3 linked regions of the Mytilus edulis genome follow. The protein of the gene in region 2 purifies or fractionates together with the protein of the main gene of each other region. This does not show direct contact. Links are inferred from orthologs where the notes say so. Each region holds a gene or a part of one and is shown on either strand. Other genes may lie near its edges.

Evidence for each region.
Region 1: the proteins of S-phase kinase-associated protein 1 (region 2) and F-box/LRR-repeat protein 16-like purify together in Homo sapiens (affinity purification with western blotting; 5 studies listed by BioGRID and IntAct, with this or other methods). This does not show direct contact. The link is inferred for Mytilus edulis from reciprocal best matches to the Homo sapiens genes SKP1 and FBXL16.
Region 3: the proteins of S-phase kinase-associated protein 1 (region 2) and F-box/WD repeat-containing protein 8-like purify together in Homo sapiens (affinity purification with western blotting; 14 studies listed by BioGRID and IntAct, with this or other methods). This does not show direct contact. The link is inferred for Mytilus edulis from reciprocal best matches to the Homo sapiens genes SKP1 and FBXW8.

What each region holds. Positions count from the first base shown.
Region 1 is NC_092352.1:75,839,610-75,846,573, forward strand, and holds the start of F-box/LRR-repeat protein 16-like, read right to left. Parts: upstream 3,011-6,964; 5' UTR 2,679-3,010; coding exon 1,561-2,678; intron 1-1,560. UniProt on the Homo sapiens protein: Substrate-recognition component of the SCF (SKP1-CUL1-F-box protein)-type E3 ubiquitin ligase complex.
Region 2 is NC_092350.1:58,848,908-58,856,804, reverse strand, and holds the start of S-phase kinase-associated protein 1, read right to left. Parts: upstream 3,018-7,897; 5' UTR 2,885-3,017; intron 1,704-2,884; coding exon 1,607-1,703; intron 567-1,606; coding exon 352-566; intron 1-351. Other genes in the region: S-phase kinase-associated protein 1-like, read left to right, coding at 6,092-6,107. UniProt on the Homo sapiens protein: Essential component of the SCF (SKP1-CUL1-F-box protein) ubiquitin ligase complex, which mediates the ubiquitination of proteins involved in cell cycle progression, signal transduction and transcription.
Region 3 is NC_092349.1:74,090,880-74,098,742, forward strand, and holds the start of F-box/WD repeat-containing protein 8-like, read right to left. Parts: upstream 3,011-7,863; 5' UTR 2,875-3,010; coding exon 2,368-2,874; intron 1,602-2,367; coding exon 1,497-1,601; intron 143-1,496; coding exon 1-142. UniProt on the Homo sapiens protein: Substrate-recognition component of the Cul7-RING(FBXW8) ubiquitin ligase complex, which mediates the ubiquitination and subsequent proteasomal degradation of target proteins.

The sequences.
Region 1 (6,964 bases), on a different chromosome or scaffold from region 2:
TGTTTAAAAAATCTACCCTATTTTGACCTTGTGTCGACGGTATTCAGTCGTCTGGCATTTTATGGAGGCGTACTTCATATGGAAAGATGAATATGGTGTGATTACCAAAGACAACTCTCCCCCAGAGACCATATAAGTTTAACGTTGAACTTAGAAAATATAAGTCACCGTATGGCCTTCGACAATGAACAAGCCCATACCCGACATATTAAAGGATAAAAGGTCCCGGAATAACAAATGTTAAACAATTCAAAGGAGAAAACTGACTATCTGATTAACCTACAACACACTAAACGACAAACAATTAGAATATACAGCAAGAAACGACATCCACTAACAGGCTCCCGACTTAGAACAGACACATAATGGCATCAGGATTCATAATCCCTTTCGGGTTAAAAACAGCACGTAATATAGATCTCTAATATGGTCATGTAGATGTAATTACTGATGAAATCAATACAAAACGATAGTTTGATCACACGAGAGGAATTCGATATTTACAAAATATAAACTTAACTAGAGTATATACGAAACAGATTAGTATCAGTTCAAAGTTTCCACAGCTGTAATAGCAGACATTAAAAATAAATAGCACGGTGTGAAGAAACTATAAAGCTGGTTGATGTAAAATGGTCTTAAATCCAAGATTCAAAAATCTATAGCAATATCAATAATTGAGAACGTGGGAAGCTATAGCGACCTGGTGAGTCACCGCTTTATCGAGCGGTTTTATTCTCTCTTAATTGGTCCTGAGCATCTATATTTGTGTTGAACCACTCTATACTTCCAATCAACTTCCGTATGAAAATTGGTACTTTAAGGTCGATATATATATAAAGTTGTATAACTGAAATATATGGTGTTTTTTTTTTTATAAAATGTACAGTTTAATAGTCATAATGTCTGTTTCAGAAAAAATATTACATTAAAACTTTATTCATGCCAGTAATTCAGCCAGTCGAATTAAGACAGGCGACCACCAAAGATTGTCCAAAAAGGAAACACATGTAAGAGGGACTTCAGGGCGGTCCAGCCATTTTAAAAGGGACAGAAGGGGGGGGGTCCAAACATATGTCCCATTCAAATGGATTGATCGGTAAAAAAAGGGGGTTCCAACCCCCGGACCCCCCCCCCCATTTGGGTCCGCCAATGGGCTGGGAATGGGTTTTCATATCTTTATTCTTTGCAGTGTAGGGATATTTTCCCTATTCTTTTTTTATCTTCTATTCTTTGTAAAGAACTCCTTTACTCTCTTGGTGTACTTAATATTGTTGCCTTTTTTCTATACATTCTGTTTGCTCTTTTTTTTCTCTCACTATTCTCTCTATTCTATAAACCCAGTTACAATATGTCCAAATCAAAAGCCTCCATAAGATGAAACAGTAAAAATAAAACGACCATCAACCTAATTCCAGTAAATTACAATGTAAACGTTAACGAGACAGTAAACCAACAGCAAAACGTCAAGCATTCGAAGACATCCATGGTTGTAACTGTGCGGACATCAAGAGGGCTAGACGGCTTTAATTCGAGGTTAGGTTTGATATATAAACTTACCTATCAAGGGTCAGTTGTTCGAGTTGACTCAGATCACAAGCAATATATTCGAGTGAGGAATCTGTAATCCGAGGACACCATGATAGGTCTAAGCATCTTAACTTCCGAAGATTTTCGGTAATAAGTTCTATTCCATCGTCTGTTACCTTACTACACCCTGATAAACTAAGAACAGCTAGATTTGGAAGAGAATGTACGATATTCACAACCCCATGGTTTGTAACTTCCCAACAAGACTGAAGTCTAAGAACACTGAGAGAATAGCTCTGTTTGGTACTAAAAAAAGCTAAGGCAGCGTCAGTCACATGATAAGCCTGTATGTTCAGTTCGTAAAGCGCCGGAAGTAGTTGAGCAATAGCCCCAATTGTGTCGTCTGCAACATTTATGCAATCTTTAATGGATAAGGACACGATTTTGGGGTTAAGACATGACCACATACCCGTTTCTGTTATTTCGTTACATCCGTTCAGTTCTAACTTATAAATACATGGAATTTTCTTACACAAAATTTCAAGACCGACATCAGTTATATTAGAATTTCGTAAACATATAAACCTGATTTGCTTTTTGAATATCGCACAATGGTTAATAAAATCAGCAATTTCTTCGTCTATTGCGCCAAAAAAGCAAATCGAATCAAAACATCTAATTTGCAAACTCTCATAAAACAATCTTTTAAATTCCTCTGTTTTACCAAGATTACGTAGAATAATGACAGGCATTACATTTTCCCAGTACTTTGGATGGTAAAGTATATTTTTCCAAGTGTGACAAACTCGAGACAGCATGCCTCGTTCTTCAGCAGAAAAATAGTAGAAAAACTTCGATAAAAATCGGTCATCCATGAACAATTCGTGGATTGTATCAGGTTGGTGCCGTCCAAAAAGACTTCTAATTTTTCGTGCTATGAGTGGCTTTGGGGAACGGATCACACGAGCACTCATCGCAGAACTTCCGTTTGAAACATGTTTATTTATATTAATTGATGTTTCACGTGTCGTTGAAATTGAAATATGATTTGTTGAGACATGCGTTGTCGTCTGTTGTTGTTCCTTGCTGAATCGTAATCCTCGGATTCCATTCGATAATTCCATGTATGCTTTTCGAATCGTTGACATTTTGAATTTAATTTCCGATTGAATATAAATAAGAAATTAACATTTGCTGTCATTATTCCATATTCATAGATTCTGCCAATACAAATTAACCGATCAATGGTTATTTATAAGTCCATTTTGTAGGAAACAGATATTATAAAATCATTACTCACGGACGAAAATAGATGAAAACTGATAAGGTTCTATAAAAGTCAGAATAAACAATTTTCCAATCACTACTCCACTGTAAGAAGAATTCCTTATTTTCGAACGTGAAGTCTTTGTTCCAGTATGATAATTGACGACTTGGATCGCTTCACTTGAAGCAAGCGTGGGATCGATGTTTAAAACTCGATGGATCAATATTCTAATGGATGATGGTTATATTAGCCATGAAGGATGCATTACTATATGAATAAAAGAAGCTGTGGGGGTTAACTCAACAAGACAACAATCAACTGAAGCAAGTTAACCAAAATAAGACATTTATATACAATAAAAATAATTTATTACTATATGATTTTAATTCCCCAAATCACAATTTGAAAAGGATAAATCTTATATTTATTTTATTTATCTTTAAAAGAGCAAGTGCTCAAAAGTCAAAATAATTTATTAAATTGAATGAAAAACAAAGAATAATCCTCTTTGAAAATTTGGTCAATGATTTAGATGTCAATGACTAAGATCAACTTTTAATTCAAGTAATGAGTGTAAATTTCAGGATTAAAACAATAAATGTACATTGTCGGAAAATATGAAATGTATAGTTATGTTTTTATTATATAAGATATGATATTTTTATTCCAATTAAAGGGCCCATGAAGAGCAAAGTAATTTATTACAATGATTTTTAGAGTTGTTAACTTACAATAATGTTGACATAAACCATAAATGTGAATTTAACTATTTCAGTTCTTAAATGTTAACCACAGCCAGATCAGAGTCATACACATAAAAAAGGAATAACAATATATATGTATTATTATAAACAGGCAAATATTCTCAACGTCTTAAATAAAACAATATCTATATATATACTATATTGATAGTTTTCTCAGTTCCAATCGTCATGTTGTATATGTATTGGTTCCCGTTAAAAATTTCGTAATGAAGCAACAAAATTTTGTACAAATAAACTCATCATATATAGATACCAGGATTGAAATTTGTATTTACGTCAGACGAGCGTTTCGTCTACAAAATACCCACCAGTGACGCTCGAATCCAAAATAGGTTAAAAAGGCCAAATAAATACGAAATTTAAGAGCATTGAGGACCAAAATTCCTAAAAGTTTTGCCAAATACAGCTTAGGTTATCTATTCAGGAGGTATTTAAAAAATTCTCGCTTCCAATTATTGCACCTAAATGTTTATTGCAAAACACTTGGCCGTAATTATTTTCACTTAACATGTACTATTACATTTCATTGTATTTGATGATGTAAACATTTTTTTTTATGAAAGTGCGTACCAATCTTTTATCGATTCTGTAACCTTATCGGATATACATGTCACATACGTATCTAAAGATCTGGTAAAGGTCGTGTATATGGGGCGCCGAATGGGACTCATGTGATTTTGTACAAAATTCAATTTTGTGATGACAAAATTCATTTTTGTCGTGACAATGTCGTGACACTGAAAAGTCAATTTTGTCAAAAAGGTATGCAAATATAAACATACAAAATTGACTTCGGTTACCTGATATGGAAATTATAACACAAAAGTCAATTGTGTGAGACAAGATTCAATTTTGTGAGACAAAATTGACCTTAGTGAAACAAAATTGATTTTTGTGAGACAAAATTGACTTTTGTGAGACAAAATTGACTTTTGTGAGACAAAATTGACTTAGTGAGACAAAATTGACTTTTGTGAGACAAAATTCAATTTAGTCAATTTTGTCTCACAAAAGTCAATTTTAGAACTATAAAGTCGTGCTTAGAGATTAAACACTTTTATTATAAGCTACATGTAAATGTTCCGGACCATATGAGTATCTGGACCATACGCGTATGGTCATGACCATATGGGTATATACTCATATGGTCCGACCATACGCGTATGGTCGGACCGTACGCGTATGGTCGGGGTAATCAACACGTATACTTTTAAACTCTTCATTAGGTGTGACCCTTCTGATTGTTACGTCACTAAAATGTCATTTTATGTATATTAAAAAAAAAAAACAGTTTCGCACAGTTAATATTTCTTACTATTTGTAAGTACAATTATAAAAAGATGCCAAAATTAAATGAACATATTGTACAAGGAATTTTATTGTTTAAAGTAGGTGACATCACCGGCAAGGATCATGATATTTTTTAAAGATCATGATATTTTTTAAGACATTTTAAAAGTAAAATATTAAAAGTGTATGTTTCTTTATTTTTTCTATTCTTTTTTTCTATACTTCTATTTAATCTTAATTATAAGACGGTAAAATAGCATTTAAGAACCATGAAATAGCCACTGTCTTTATCTAATTTGATCTGTGAAATTCATTTTACGATATTGGAGATCTAGAGTTTCTCAAAAACACCGTAGACACATCGGAATTGTCCGAGTCGATATCACTGCACGCAGCCAAAACAAGCAATCTCAGAAAAACTACATGTATGGTACCGTGTGAATTTCATTTTAAGTATACAAAAGCATACACGAATACAATTAGCGATGAAAACTAAGATCAATTGACTGTGGCATCAATATTTAATGTTTATGTAGCTTTTGACATGTAAAATTAATACATTTTTTTGTAAACACATTTGTTTTTAAGATAAAGTTTTTTGTATTATTTCTATTGTATATTTGAAAAAATACCTATATGGTCCAAATACTCATATGGTCCGGCCCGTTAATAACCAAACGAGTATAATACTCATATGGTCCGACCATACGCGTACGGTCGGACCATACGCGTATGGTCGGACCATATGAGTATACGCATATGGTCATGACCATACGCGTATGGTCCGAATACTCATATGGTCCGGAACATAAACACGATTCTAAACACATTGTATTGAGACCCGTTTAGACCAAAACATGTAAAACAAAAAGTGCACAAAAGATGTGTTTAAAACATATTTTTTTTGAAAAAAAAGTTTGTTTCCAGTTTTTAGAGAAAAAAACAATTGTTTTTGATACTGAAAAAAAAAAATTGTTTGTTTCCCCAGCTCAGCTGCCACTAAATGTAAGCTAAAATCCAGAAAAAAAATCCATAGCCCCCTCCAGAAAATCAAATGGTTGCTGCCTTATTATTCATGTAAACATAGTGTTTGCTATAAAAGATTATACCCCTCTCTTGGGACCTTATTTGAAATAAATGAATACCTTTTATTCTATCATAAAAGTAATGTTTTCTATAAAAACATATTGTAATTCGATTCATCAGACTCCTGTAAATTTGTCAAACCATTTAACTTACTCATTAGACCAATATAAACTTATAACAGTGAAATATGGTATATGGATTGATATATTCATCCTTTTATAAAGCTTTAATTAAAGGAGATAAAACTAACAAAAAAGAAGATATTCTTAATTTCATTGACAAAAGTCCACCTGATAAAGTACTAGATAAATTTCATAAGTTAATTTTAGGGGTAAAAACCCTCTTGTAATGTAGCTGCTCGATCTGAATTAGGCAGCTACCCTATTGATTGCTTTATAAAAAGACAAACTCTTCTTTTTCATGATAGACTTTTAAGGGAAGAAACTAGCCCCTTACTAAAAGAAACACTAAATTTGGCAAAAACTTTACATAATGCAGGTATTTATTCTTGGTACTCCTATGTAAATCATGTCAGAATTCAAAATGATTTAGAAATTGTTAACCAAAATAAGGGGAAAAAAAATAGGATAATATACAAACAAAATTTAGAAAACTACTATGAAAATTTATATTACGATAAAATATTAAATTTACAAGAGAATTAACAAACTCCAACTTTTAAAAAAAAATAAAAAAAGCTATAACTTTGAACCATACATTGTTGTACCTACTTTCTCAAAACTTCGAAAGTAGACAACTAATTTGTAAATCTCGAATAAGTGACCACTGTTTATTAACAGAAACTGGTAGATACAGGAAAATTTCCAGAGATTTAAGACTGTGTACATATTGTGATGTACTAGATGAGGAGTTTCATTTCTTTTTTAAATGTAAAAAAAATGAACAATTAAGAAAAGAATGTTTAAATGAAAATAAATATAATAATTTAAATAATATAGATAAATTAAAACATATCTTCAATCCTGAAATAAAACAGGACACTTGCAAATTAGGCTCCTTTTTAAAA
Region 2 (7,897 bases):
TTTACAGGAAAAATACTCCCACTGCTGGGAAAAATCTGTTAAGAAAGTATTAGTTCATTATGTAAAGCCATTATTATAGCATTTCAACTAAAATAGAATTTTCAGCTAAATGATAGCATCAAAGGCATAAACCTTGCTACTTAAAAGAAGCAAAAAGTTCATTTTTTTCAATTTTACTAATTAAAAGATATTATTTAAACCTATGTGTTTAAAATTTTGAAAAAAACTACAAAATCCCAATTTGTGACAAAACTTTGAATTTGCTACTCAAATAAGTGATTTAAAAATCATTTATTTCAGTAAGTCCCCTGACTGATTATAGAACTGCTGAATATGCAAATGTTAAATTACCAATATTAATTCAAATAATGTCCCTTGATCAACTTTTAGAAATTCAGCGTCCCAGGAACAAATATCATCTGTGCGTTTTTCTTTGTTTTCATCATCTTCCTGAGGTGGTGGGTCGTCTTTGTGGTATGTGCACCATTGAATAACTTTTTTTAGGATACCAGCATTTACATTAGGCAAGGGTACAGGCTCTTCATCATCCTCATCAACACCCAGATCTATAAATATACACATTAGACTACAAATAGACAAGAATGTGTCCTTAGTACATTGATGCCCCACTCGAACTATCATTTTCTTTGTTCAGTTGACCGTGAAATTGGGGTATAAACTCTAATTTGGCATTACAATTAGAAAGATCATATCATAGAGAACATGTGTACTAAGTTTCAAGTTGATTGGACTTCAGTTTCATCCAAAACCATAACCAAAACCTTAACCCTGAAGCAGGACAGGCAGACAGAAAAATGGATGAACGAATGAACAGACGGACGGACGCACAGACCAGAAAATATAATGCCCCTCTACTATCATACATGTCATAGGAGGGGCATAAAAATACCATATCTTTGTAAAATGTAATGTCAGTGTTAATACACTCCCCCCCCCTCATTTTTCATTTAAAGATATGTGTCTTGAGGGATAATTTTTTGAAATATGTCAGTTGAAGATAAATATGTATCAGTCCAATCCTATATTTTATTAAATTTTCCTCCAATAAAAAATGTGTTTATAAAGTAATAAATTATGAGAAATTACAACTTGATCTGATCAACATTTCAAATTTCAATTTAAAACCGATTTTTTTATTAATAATAAATGTATCAATATTTTTATGAAAACTCAGGCCTGGCAAAATGTTCTCTGATGTTGCTGCAATTTCATGATTCATAGCTATAGCTATATAAATATACCAATTAATTATGGACACATTCTAGATGATGAGGAACAATTTATATAAATTCTTTTCAATTACATAAAATTTTGTCATGTGTGAAATTTGTGTAATGAATTTTACATACATGACATATATAGTAACCTGGAATTAAGTTTTTTTTCAGTCATGTTTCATACTATTTTTAACAAAAGTCGAGCTTTTAGAGTTGCTTATGTAGTGCTTGTTCTACAGCTTTATTCACAATTTTTTTTCTCAATCAAATTTATAATGCATGCTAGCCTTTAACGCTACACATGGTAGATTTTATCAGTACACTGATCAAAATATGACTGAGGAACAATTTTTTCTTCAACAGTTTACCTTCTAACATAGTTTTAATTGTGACAGACTGTCTGGCTATCTCAACCTCAATTTCAAATATCTCTCCGTCTGAACTCTGTAACTTGATATTAGGCATCTAAAAGATAATAATTAGTCATAGTCATGTTAATCATCAAAGGTACCAGGCTTATAACTAGCCTATAACATTCTAAAGACGCATAACTCAAGAATGGTAAAAGTGACACAATTTAAATTAAATTTGTTGTTGCAATTAGATGATTTATTGTGATATACATTGTATTTAAGATTAAAATACCTGCTAACTTTTCAAAATGCCCATGGGGGTTTTACGTGAAAGATGATTCTTATTGTCCTACAAAACCTTCAAAGGGGCCTTCAAATATATTCTAATGTGGTTTTTTGGTTTCTTCCTGCTTTAACAAGCTCATAGCCATTGTTAAATTGTTTTCTTTAAAATAGTGGACAAAATTGCTCTTACAAAATTTCCACTTGGGAGCCTCCATGGGGGAAATCCCCCGCGAATAGTGACAGTTGGCGGGTATGGATTTATACTGTCTGTATTTACAAAGCTCATTGGAATAAATGTTATAAATGTGTTTAAAACAGAATACAAGTAGATAAATTATAGCTTGGTAGAAGTAAAAACAATGAAAGATAATTAGAGTTTGATAGCTAAAGCTGTTTGAAATCTTCTAGCTTTTGATTAATTGCCTTTCTCTGTCGTTTTTTACAAGTCTTTAGAGAAAAATTACTTATTCAGCCGGACAGGAGAGGTCCTGATCCCGGAATCCTGGGTTTGAAAACATGAAATCCTGAGGTCGGGAATTTAATCAATTTAAATCCTGACATCCCGAAATCAAAAAAAGAATTCCCATATCATGAAAGGTTCAATCCCAACATCCTGAGCTTAAAAACACCTGATCCTGCAGTGCCCATAAAGATCCTATCCCCCCTCAGTAATGTGATACTGAGAGGGGGAAACTTTTATTTGGTGTTTTGACACTAAAGACAGCAAAGTCAATATATTTTATTCTACATTGAATATCATTTTTGGGACTATTTTAATTTTGAAATCATCAATATCTTGTTCGATTGTTTTTTGAAGTAATGAAATTAATTCTCTTTTCACATAAAATGACACATGTGTCTATATTTGTAGATGACTTGTCTGAGAAACGGTGTCAACAAAAAAGAATGCGCCATATTTGTTGGCAAGAGCATACAAGTCTATAATTCAGTAAATATTTTGGAAAACAAATTGAATTTAGAACAGTGTAGTTCATTTTAAGACATTACTCTGATCTTCTGTGTGTATAACGGGGTGTTAAATCTTTGTCTTTCGTCTGAAACAACACAAAAATATATCGGAAACGAGCTGAATCTAAAATTTATAAGCGCCTCCTGTGATTAAGGGGCGATAATCTATTTTGCCTTTTGGATAGTTTTGTACTCTACCTTGATTTAGACGAACAACCTCGAAATTCCCGATATAAATAGAATTACTGCCCTTGAATAAAAGACAAAACGCTAGCTGACACTTGTTTTATTGAAAGACACAGAACGCAAAAAGTATAAGTTTATCAAAGTTTCACTATCTTTTATAATGTGAAATGGTTGCATGTGATATGATTATTTTTTACACATGCTGACTTAGAAAAATAGTCAGGCACTTTTTGACTTTGTTTACATTAGTTACCATTTAAAAGTACATAAAAAATCAGCATCATCTTTTACAAATATTTACATTAAAAGCATGTGAATTTTGTTTAAATAGTAATGTTGTACTCAGTTGTAGAAGTCTATAATTAACGGTTTTAAATTCATTAGCCTCACCGGACGATTTTTGAACTATGATTAATATTTTTTTATGTAGACTACTTTTCTTTTTTATAATTTTTTATACCATAGAATTTAAGATGTATGAAGGCTTTCCATTTTGCATCATATCCCACATAAATTTTTATTCACGTTAGGATACTTTAGTAAGATTTGCGTGACCTCGTTTTACGTGTCAAGAGAGCCACATATGGACGCAATTCCGAACAGCACTATATTGATATATCTTGCAGAAGAAATCAATGACAATAGTCTAGATTGATAAAGCATACATTAACCTTTATCTCAAACACATTTTCATAGGAAAATAAGATGCACAAGTTTGTTTTTTACTTCAATTACTTCAGCAGTGGTTGCAGACGAAATGTCGGTCATGTGTAAAGGAAAGATTTCTGATTTTTTTTTTTTTTTGTATAAGTTTCTCCTTTAAAGGAGCACTAAATTCAAGTTTATCCATTTCGGTGGTGTATTTATTATTCATCTATGATTTTTTTTTATATAGGTCAACATTTTTTTCGGAGTTTTCTGGACTTTTCAATAAAATTAACATATTTTCTTTTGACCATAAATAGGGTCAAAAGCGTCTAAAAAAGTCAATTGTGGGGTTATTTGGGCAAGATAAAAGGCATCATGCACATGAACAGAATCAGGAGATCTTTTTCTTTCTATATATTAACAAAAGAAGGCAATATGCACTTACCTTTATGGTTTTTTTTATAAAACTTTCAGGCCAGATTGCCGTTCTTATAATATTTTCAGAATGATTTTGTCATCGTAATCAACATTTCACCAAGTGCACATAAATTGTATTATCATGAAAACAAGGGAATTTTAATAGGATTTTTATTTATAAAAACATTTATTGTTAAATATAAAGGAATATGATCTCAGAGGGCAAACATTGGAAATCGTTCGTAATTGTGTCCAGTCGTAATTGCGTCCTATGGGGCTAATGAACTTGAGGATAGACGATAATGCCCTGAGCGCTTTACCGTCAGGATTCAAATGGTTTATTTTTTACTATCTTTTGCATCAAACCGATTAAAACTTTACCTTGATTTGTCTAAATATCATTATCGTGAATTATAAGAGGTCTCAGATAATTATAGGAACAAATATGGAAGAAAATTAATGAGATTCGTTCAAAATAAGTCTATTTTTTTTTATCGTCTGAAAGAAAGTGTACATTTTATCGTCATGCACCAAAAATAACCGTTAAGTTAATTTGGGCAAGAATTTTTGAAGGTAAGTACCTCAATTTCAATCCATATTAATCCACATTGATTCTGATTCAATATGAATTCGGTTCCTTACTGTTACTTGGAAGAAGAAGAAGAATTAACTATTTTGTTAAATTATTATATATTTATAACCATAAATACCCATTGTGTATGAAGCTGGATCTGCTCAATGCTGCAAGTGCTATGTATAGCAATACTGGCAATTCAGCTAGTCCATTTAGTCTGTAAAGTTGTTAGAATGTTAGAGTTATGTTTATTTTAGTTTTAAAAGGGAGGTATAAACATGATAAAATAAAATTTTTAAATTGTTCCTACGTATAATAATGAACATACATTTTTACTTTTTTGACACTGTTAATGTGAAAGTGTATTCTTTACATTTTTTTTTACATTTTTACTCTGATTTTTTTAATAAATATTAACAGTCAAGGGTGTAACTAAAATAAGTTATTAGAGAAAAATAACAAACATGTCGTTTTTGTGGTCTTAAATATCAAAATACCATAATAACATTTGTATGTTACATGTTTCAAAGGGACATTATACATGTTAATAACAGTTATATACAAACTTTATTTTGTTAAATTTTTCACAAGTTCTATTGATATTATAATTTTCTTTATGTATACTAAACTTTGCAAAGATATAGCAGTTCATAGTTTTCCAGTCATGCATAGTCAGCACACCTATGTTATTACAGAAAATATATTCCTGCAATAACCAAAGGGTGTTATTACAGCTTCTCTACATCTCTTTAAAGCCTTTGCTCAGAAATATATCACAATGTATTTCAATTCATTGTAAGAAATGATGATCAGAACTTGTAATGAGGCACTGCCCAAGATTCCAAGTAATTCCCAAGTGTCTCATTTACTCTCATATGATAAGTTACATGCCTGTAATAACTAAGCCTTGTAACATATTACAGCTTAATTTTCCCTAAAAGGCCTTGTCTCATTGATTTACTATGGTTGGTCAAAATTGTATTAATGGAATTAGAAAATTAGTTATCAACTGCGCAAAGTTTCAAGAATTCCCAAGAGCCTGCAAAAGATAAAATATTTATGATATATTTAACTGATAACAAACATATGTTACTACAGATTTAGGAAAAAAAGAGTAGACAACTCATGATAGTGTCTGTTATAACACATGCGTGTTATTTTTCTCTGATAACTTGTTTAAGTTACATCCTTGACTGATTAACAATGATTAAATTTGCTTTACATATATATCATAAAGTATCAAGGCATTATTTTTCTATGTTTATGTGCTCTTTTTGTTTCAAAATTTCATAAAATTCTGTGAGATCAAGGTATTCAGCAATTTACGTACTTAAACATTAATTACCTTAAAGTATTTAATTTAAATCTGTTAAAATCACCAAACTGGCTGTGTTTTTTTCAAAATATCTAGATCTTACAAAATGTACAAGAAAATTGGTAAGTATTATACATGTATATATTTACATTTATATGTATATCTGATACAAATGGTATACGTAACAGTTGGCCCATCTGGTATGAAATGGCTTTATTAATTGCAAAATATCATTGTTAATGGTACAAAATGGTTATGGTATGAAATGACTAGATTCATTGCTTATATTTAACTGCTTGTACATGCTAAGCAAGGAGACAGGGACATATATATGTTTATCAAGTGTGGTTACCATATGTGTCAATTGTAATAATTATTTATCATGTACATTTTTACTTAGCATTGATATGATAGCATTTGCATATGTGTAATGAGCGGAAGTACACAAGCCATAATTTCCCACCCGGGCTGATAGCCCATATCAGGTGCATCTCGTGCACAAAACCCATAATAGAGCCTCTCCTGCAAGTTACTTCCAGTGTTTCCGGTATCGGTTGTTTACTTTTCCATTGTGACGTCAGATGTTTTTTATGACGACGTCAAAATTTACGGGAACTTTTGTGTGGGTAGTTTAATACTTGCTAACAAATGCCATTGACAATTATGAATCATTTTATAGAACAACAAACATGGAGTAGTAATGATCGTAAAACTCTTCCAAATTTTCAATGTTTCAAAATGCCTCTATAGGAAATGTTACCATAAATATATAAGGAGTTAATGATGCTGTTGTTGGACAACTATAGTATATTTTGATTCATAATTTTAATTTTCTTTATAAAGTGTTTGACTGTTTTAGTTATTGCATTTTAGTTTATTTGCCTTATACATAAAACTATTGTCGGAAGTATATGATAAAGCGATTAATACATGGCCTTTTCCATATCAGCCTGGGTATCATCCCTCGACCCATATCAGCACCTTGACTCCGTCTCGGGCTGATATGGGGGTCTCGGGATGATACCCAGGCTGATATGGAAAAGGCCATGTATTAATCTCTATGTAAAGCAAGGAAAGTTTTTTACAAGCTGTAAATTTGTACTTTTTGAAAATATTTCCTTTATGTATACATGTACATGTAACATATATTTTCGGACTTTAAATTTCAATTTATAAGAAAAATGGTTAGGCAACCAGAGAAATATAAATACAGAAGATCCATAACTTTGCAGTGTATTACCTATAATTATTGTTGGTGACAAGTATAATCATATTTTTTGCAGCGACATTGGAGTTCTGTTTAGAAATTGTTGATACATACTGCACATTTCTAATGTACTGTGGATACCTTTATTTTCATGGAAAGATTGTATTTTTTAGATCTATATTTCATTTTGTGGTTTTGCCAAATTCTGCATTACAAGCCAAAAGAAAATTTGCATAAATTGTTGAACTTTTAATTTTGTAGATACAAGTTTATGAATCCTCAGTAACCCAATAGAGGTGCAATATAAATGTACAATTGCCTACAAAATTTTCAAACATCAGCTTAATGTATCAATAATGCACAAGTTTGTGTTGTGAAATTAACTGGTGATCGTGGTGATTTTGTATTAATGGATATAATTATTTTCTATAAAAAAACCTTCAAAATTCTTTCATTTTACTTATATTTAAAGAGTAGATCCCATGTTCATGATGTTATAGAATTATTTTTTTTACTTACATTTTTTTGGATGTCTCTTTTTTGTATTAATACTGAAAAAGTTATCAGATTTTTTTTTTTTTTTTTTTTGTGTATGTAATTCAACTTTGGTCCAATAACACTTTTTTGTCAGTCAATAAGTCATGATCTAGTCTGATGATCTAGTCTGATGCAGAAATAACTTAAATCTTGTTCCATCAGATTTGT
Region 3 (7,863 bases), on a different chromosome or scaffold from region 2:
TTTCCTGTTCAATATGATGTCTAACTACAGTCTTCCACTTGGATTTATCTACAGCATCTGTATCTTGTTCATAACCAAGCTTGTGACAAATTCTATTCCATAATAACTCATCATCTGCTAAACTTTTCCAACTCTTTGAAACCTAAAATAACAAACCATGAGTAAACTATTAAAGTCATTAAGGAAATTGACAACACAAAAAATATTAAATAATCAATGTGTGTCATGTGTCTTATAAATAAAGTAGATATACATATAGAGTAAACATCAACACAGAAGTAAACCAAAAACAAAATCAGCCTTGTATCAACATCCTGGTTTTAACAAAAGTATATATTTGTATCTGAAACAAAAAAAAATATCATTAGAGGTTTATCATGTTTATACATTGTATACATGATATACAGCAAGGGTCCAGAAACAGTCATATTTGCCAATCTTGTCCTAAACTGAAAGTATTTTGTCCTAAACGTGTAATTGGGATTTAGGTCAAATTCTATTTTTCAACAGAAATAATTTCGGTCATTTCTTGGAGATCGAGTTTCAAAATCACCATTTTGAAGATGTTTTTGTTTTGTTATCGATTTTATATAATTAACCTGCCACTCCAGTAGAGTGTTATAATCCTGAGGGCCCTCCTAATAACTATATTTAATGCCTCGGGGAGCTATTGGCTAATGATTGCTAATCTCTTTACCTGTGTTTTTAATTCACACCTGGTTATTAATCACAAGCTCTGAACTAATATTATAAAGAAATTAAAATTCCATACCAACTGTCTTCGTTATTTAATTACTTTTCAGCTTAGACAATTGTCAATTATGATTTATTTGAAAAAGTATTTTTTCACTACTAACACACGTGCTTTGTTTACCATGTAATATGCTTGCTTGAAATGCCCTTCCGCAGATTAGACACTAAATCGTAAATTTAAAATGATTTTATGCTAAATAAAGCAAGTGCAACTATTTTCATTAATATTCTTACACTTTAAAAGGTAAAATATTAAAAAGCTGATGATTTCCTGTGAATTTGATAAAAAATACTATTCCCGGAAATTAGTCTTTACATTTGGTTTAAATATCGACTTCAGAATCGAAAAAACATAAGCGATGACAGAGAAAATTATCGTTTTGAGTCAATAAAATCATTTTATTTTTAAACAGTTGCCTTCCCTTAATTGCTCTTGACCGATTTTAGGAAAATGGTAGGATAAATCATGAAGTAAATGCGATGCAACAGTAAACAAGTTCGTTGATGCTACGAGTATGAGCATACTGAGTAATGAGATATAAAATTTGGTATTCGTTGAACATTTAATTTCGTGTTTCATCTGTTGCCACGAAATCCACGAAAATTGTCCACAACAATGTCCAACAAATTATAATGAATCCACAGTATCAGGATGAAAATTTTTCTAATTTCAAATTTTACACCAGGTGCCAACCATATAATAACTACATATAAATATACATGATATCATTCATTGCACTCACCTGAGAACATCTGCACAAGTCTTTGAGATCAAGAGGTTCAAATATTTTTATTGCAACCTCCCTTGGGACTGTCAGATCAAAAAATGGAATTTCATTTATTTCATCCTAAAATAGAAATTAATAAATTAAAAACAACAGCAAATTGATTTTTATTACAACTCCAATTTGGTAATCAGTTCAGACATGTTAGAAGACAAAAAAAACTGTTGATTCTTTTCTATTACCTTCTTCTTGTCTCTGTATGAGTCTCCTTTAATTAGGAGCACCACCATGAGTTATGGCGTAAAAAGGAGGACATTTGGAGCCTGTATCTGTACAGATTAGTGTGAGCATTTGCCTACCCAATTCCCCAGCCAGGCTGTGACGGGTCTTATTACCAGAAAGTTAACCTTCCCCAAACATAATATAATGCAATAAAATAAAACATACTAAACTCACACACTCATCTGATTCGATCAGTCCTCAAAGTATAAAAAAGTGCAAAACTATATACATAAAATGGAACAAGGTCAGCTTGGATGCCCAACAAATGCTGTGGCAAAATACGCTAAAATAGTAATGAGGAATCGGTTAGGACAAAATACATATCAAAACCGACACTTTACCATAGAAGCATGTTTATATAAAATATGAAAATGCTATTTGATGAAATTTGCAAGACAATCAATTTTGATGTTTGGTTTCAATTCTACGTTGTTGTGAGAACTAAGATTTATATATAGGAAAATGTTAACATTTCCTCCAATGGAAATCAAATTCTATTGGTGTATCAGCATTATTCATAGTATTGGAAATATATATATATATAAATGTAGATTATGTAACACTGACAAATGTTGTATATTCATTAACTCTATAAAAAATATCTTACCAAATCAGCAATAAACAAGTCTAAATAGCTCTCTTTATCAACCTCCTTTCGACCTTGTTTATTGGAAAAGATGTCTTTCACGTCTTCCTTTCTGAATGCATCATATTTTCTTTTCTTCTCACAGGTGCTTGTCACTTTAGTATTTGATAATAACTCTCTTTCCGGACTACAACTTTGTTTGATGTTATCTTTTGAATTAAGAAGACCATCAACTATTTGGAATGGGTAGAACTGAGTGTTGGTTTTATGTTCTTTATTTTGTTTATTGACAAATAAACAAGTATGGCACTTGTTATTTTCCCTAAAAGCTGGGTGAACTCTGCACTCAGAACAATTTGTTGGATTGGAATTCGAGGTATTAGATATATTTTCTGGGAGGACAATATCGATTGCTAATGTAGGAGCAACAGCTATTGAACTTTGTCCTCTTTTATCTGGAATGACATTACTCCCTTGAAGTTCGTTTTTCCATTCAGTTCGGAACTTTTCAAGGTCATTTGATGCCATGCTATGTGAGTATGAAATATAAAGTTAACAGTGCATATGTATAGTTAAACTTTCAACGGGTCAAACTCTAATAGATAACATACTTCAATGTACAGCTGTACATGTGATACTGTAACGTTTGTTTACGTTCGTCTCGGAAGCTCTCTAATTCTTCATAAAAGTTCGATCAATCCGAAAAGACTTTTTAGGTCTGCCCTATTACCATATGAAAATTTAGAAAAATTCAGACAACTATTTCCGTAAATTATAAGACCGCATGATACAAATATTATGAAGGTCTTTGTGGGATTATCAGAATAGAAAATAATGGAAAAAAATAACATGTAGACAAAAATGTACAAGCGTGGTCTAGTGGTTAAGACCGATGGCTACAGTGCTGAAGGTCCCGAGTTCGATTCTCACTCGGGGTGCTAAAAATATCAGCACATCAGAAGGGTAATTTTCACCCTCTCACACACATCTCTGGTACCCAGACCGGAGTTTAAACTAGAATGGGTACTTTGGGGGCCTCGGTTGGTCAAAGTTGTCCCTTACTTTGACCTGGAGATCAATCTTCTGATATCTCTCTGGTTTGTCTGTTTTCCACCGAGTGGCCCGGTGGTTCTCTCCGAGTACTTCGGCTTCCTCCACCATAATAACAGACTGCCCGGTGTCCTAGCACTCCCTTTGTGTTGGGTGGGGATTGATTGTCCTTGTAAAAATAATTGTCGTATAAACATACGTTAGTGACACATCTCCATTAATCCCGTTAGGGAGTGTACATGGATGCCACTGTACCCTCGCAGTTTTCGAGGGGTTCTTCGGATATCGGAGGCATTTACCAGTACATACATACATACATACATACAAGCCAAGACAGGAATATGACAGTTGTTTTCGTTTGATGTGTTTAAGCTTTTGATTTTTGCCATTTTATAAGGGACTTAAAATTTCCTTGGAGTTCGGTATTTTGTGTAATTTTTGATTTATAATAAAAAATATTTTACCTTTTTTTCTTCAAAATTTCACTGTTAAATTTGATTTGAGCTTCATTGGGATGTAAAATTCAGCACCCAATCGTAACTACTCGGCCATTCTCGCTACGCAGTACAATAGCCTCGTATGCACTACGGAGAAATTCTTCTTAAATTGTTGGCCGGAATTGTAGTGATCCGCGACACAAAGAAGTTCTATCCTCCAGGTGGCGCTATAATTTGGTTACATATCACAGTAATCAAGAACTTTAACTCTGCCAAATATTTTGGCGCGAAAGAAGGAGCAAAGTAAATAAGTAATGGTAAAAAATTTGTACCATTCCAGTCGAAAAAATATAAAATTCAATCAGATCGGAAAATTTTCCGGACAGGAGCAAGTTAAATCAGTAGTGGTAAAAAAAATGTACCAGTCCAGTCGAAAAAATATAATTTTGAATCGAATCGGAAAATTTTCCGGACAATGATTCCTCCGCCTAATGCATACGAGGTTATTTCTTCGTGCAACCAGAAAGGCCGAGTTGTTCCGATTGATTCAGCACCAACAATCCATTTGCATGTTTGCAAGTGGAGACATGTGCTGGCTTTGCTCTAGTTACAAACAAAAGTAGATAGTACTGGGGTGCTGGTTTTGAGATGTAGATGAATCAACAATATTTCATATTACAATTTTCCCCCGTATCTTCTCCTTAAAATGTATTTTAATCGGCATTGTTTTACATGAAGCACGTGTAGAGATTAATACTTTTACAAAAATCATTTTAAAGGAAGAAGGTAATTTCCCTGTTAATATTTTTTTTTCTTTCAATAAACAATTTTTTTGATTAAAAAATAGCCATGGCACTTGTTATCTTGTTATCTTAACTTTTTACCCATTAGCTTCGCAGTATTAATTAGAGGATAGGCGGATTTCTCTTAACCCTAACCCTAACACATCATAACCTATCGTACTGACATAGATTATTTAACTACGAATTTGATTGAATACGACATGACAGATTGAAATGAACACAGCATTGACATAATAAAAGTATCAAACACAATACAACATTTAAAACCAACACATAGACTAAGTTAGTAAAATCATGGATAACTTGTATTTGTTGATGTCACAATCAAGAAAAATGGGTCGGGATTTTAGGCACGAAAAGTGAAGAATATCCGTGGTCATCTATATCACAGATATATTCCATACAGCAAATCAAATTATGATGGTGTCCGTTATTAAATCATCACTGAAAGAATTACTTACTTTTTACATTTAGGAGCCTTGATACAATAGCTTCGAATTCCTTGTAAGCAATAATGCTCCATCGAAGAAATCATAAAGTAGAACGCAAGCTAAGGATATGTATTCCTACAGGAATGTAGCTTGCTACATAACATAGAAAGTTCAAAATGGAGTAATTAAAATTATTTTCTTTGCCTTAAATTTAGCTCTCAGCGAACCTTCATTGTGAATATCTAGGTATAAGTTTTTATCATATAGTATAAACTTGAGAATGGAAATAGGGAATGTGTCAAAGAGACAACAACCCTACCAAAGAGCAGAAAACAGCACAAGGCCACCTATAAAGATCTTCAACACTATGTGAGAAAATCACGCACACAAAGGCAGGCTTAGACCTATTTGTATATGTGATTTGTCTGTTTCAAGTTTGAAAGGATCAAGTGTGAATTATTCAGCGAGAAGGATCGTCGTTATAATGTGAGATGAAATAATAGATCATATCAGAAGAAAATGACCTCAGTCAATTGGTTCCCACATAAATTCCGACTAACTGTTAGAAAACACGTCCTCCAAACGTATCAAAAATGTGGTCAGTAATAAAAATCAAGCATCGTAATGATTATTGTCAGTTTCACAGTACTCAGTGTTTTTGTGTGAGGATTTATCTCTAGCTTCATGAAACCTAAAACAAAATATTCGTATCTGTGTTGACAATTTTAATCATTTTTAAATCTTTCTTTGTAGGAACTAATTGGTAAGTTGTAAATTTGTTGGGCACAAGATGTTTGCGCTTTTTTTTAACCTGTAACACGATATGACATCTGCGCTCCACAGACTGTGGTCATCTGCCCTTTAAATTTTGATACAATTGTAGTAAAATTCGCACTGACACCGTCTTAGTTTAAACATATTTGTTTATAGGGAATTGGGAAAACAAGTTATTTCAACTTATATCAATCCCTTTCCACTTTGCGGGTGCGAGTGTTGTCTTGTAGCGGCATTAGCCTACTCTTTTTCGAAATCTACAAGGGTATCTTTTACGTGCAAGCTGAGATATGGCTCTCTCTTAACATGGGTCAGCCATTTAACGTCCCCTTCCGACGGACTAGAATCGATTCCTTCGAAGACCATACTCGTAAATGATGTCAAGGGAGACACAGTCTCAAACATTAGAGTATAAAAATATAGAGACAAGTACAGGAAAAAATGTTTATGTCACGATGGATTTTTACCGTTGAACAACAGTCGGCTTATAATATTAGCATTCGTTATATATTGACGAACAGACATGTCAGTCAAGAAATGAAAAAAAGAGACTAGAATCTATAATACTAAAATTACGAGGTCCAATTTGTCAGCCGTCATCGGGTAAAAACGACAAATCAAAGAATTCAACTCTATATATAACTAATATAGGACAATGGTGTAGATTAAAAATTACACCACTCCAGACCCTTTTGTTTTCCACATAATTAATATTGCCAATAATTAACAAGTTCCGGGTCGAATCCGATACCGATACCAATAGTATATTCACCTGTCAGCTATTACCTTATCTGTACGTTCCGCATTTGACAGGCGCACCACCAAACGGTGTATTTAGGATTTTACTATATATACGGGTCATAATCAAAGGGCTGACACTACTAAATTCAATCATTGTCAAATTGTTCCCTATTGTAGTTTTATTCAGCAATCAGCAAGACTTTCTAAGATAACTAATATAGGACAATGCTGTTGATTAAAAAATACTCCATTCCTGGATAGCCAGGACCTTTTGTTTTCCAAATAATTAATATTATTATAAATAACTGATAAGTTCCAGGTCGACGGGTTCAAACAGAAAGATTTGAAAGCAGAGAAAACTTTTTATCTTATAATCGACATGACTTTATCAGATGACAATACTAATTACTAAAATAAGGCTTAGGCATAGTTATATACTTTAATTCAGCCACGGACCCGCGATATCACGGGTGTGTACTTGTATATAATAAAAATGAGGGGAAAATACCAGTCAGGACAGATTACAAAAGCAAAATTGTTTATTTCTTGGGCTTCAGATATTAGGCGAAAACTGGCCTGTGATAACTTTATGTGTCTTTGGTGTCTTCATAATGTCAAATGTTCACTTTTAGGTATACATATAACTATATCAATGCGCTATAAAATTATTTTTAAACGCGAATGTGTTATAGAATGTTTAACTTTTAACCATAAAGAAATATTGTAAAATCGCAAATGTCTTATGAATTGAAGCGCGAATGTACATTAAAAAAAGTGCAAACGTCCCGATTTGAAGCCAGTGAGTTCATGGAGAAGAACAAAACGTCTCCGAAAATGATAATAAAGAACTGAGGATCATTCAAATCGAGAAAAAAAATAACTTTAGTAGAAACAGAAACATATATGTCTATGGTAGGAGTTTTTTTTTTTTTTTATAAAAATGTGTTTTATGTGAAGTATAAAGCAGAATTTTCAAATTGTGAAAAAGACTTTTGATCTCTTACTGTATATACTGATATGCATTTGTACATTAAATGCAACTAAAAATGGTTTTGAGAATTGTTCTGTATCGAAAACGTACTGAAACTTTGACATTTTTAGTTATTCCGAATTTTTGCATTTTTGGCGGATCCAGGGGGTGGGGGGTGGGGGGGGGGGGGGGGTCCGGGGGTTGAAACCCCCCTTTTTTGGCCGATCAATGCATTTGAATGTGGACATATAGTTGGAACCCCCCCTTTTGTCCTGGGTTGGGAACCCCCTTTTTAAAATGGCTGGATCCGC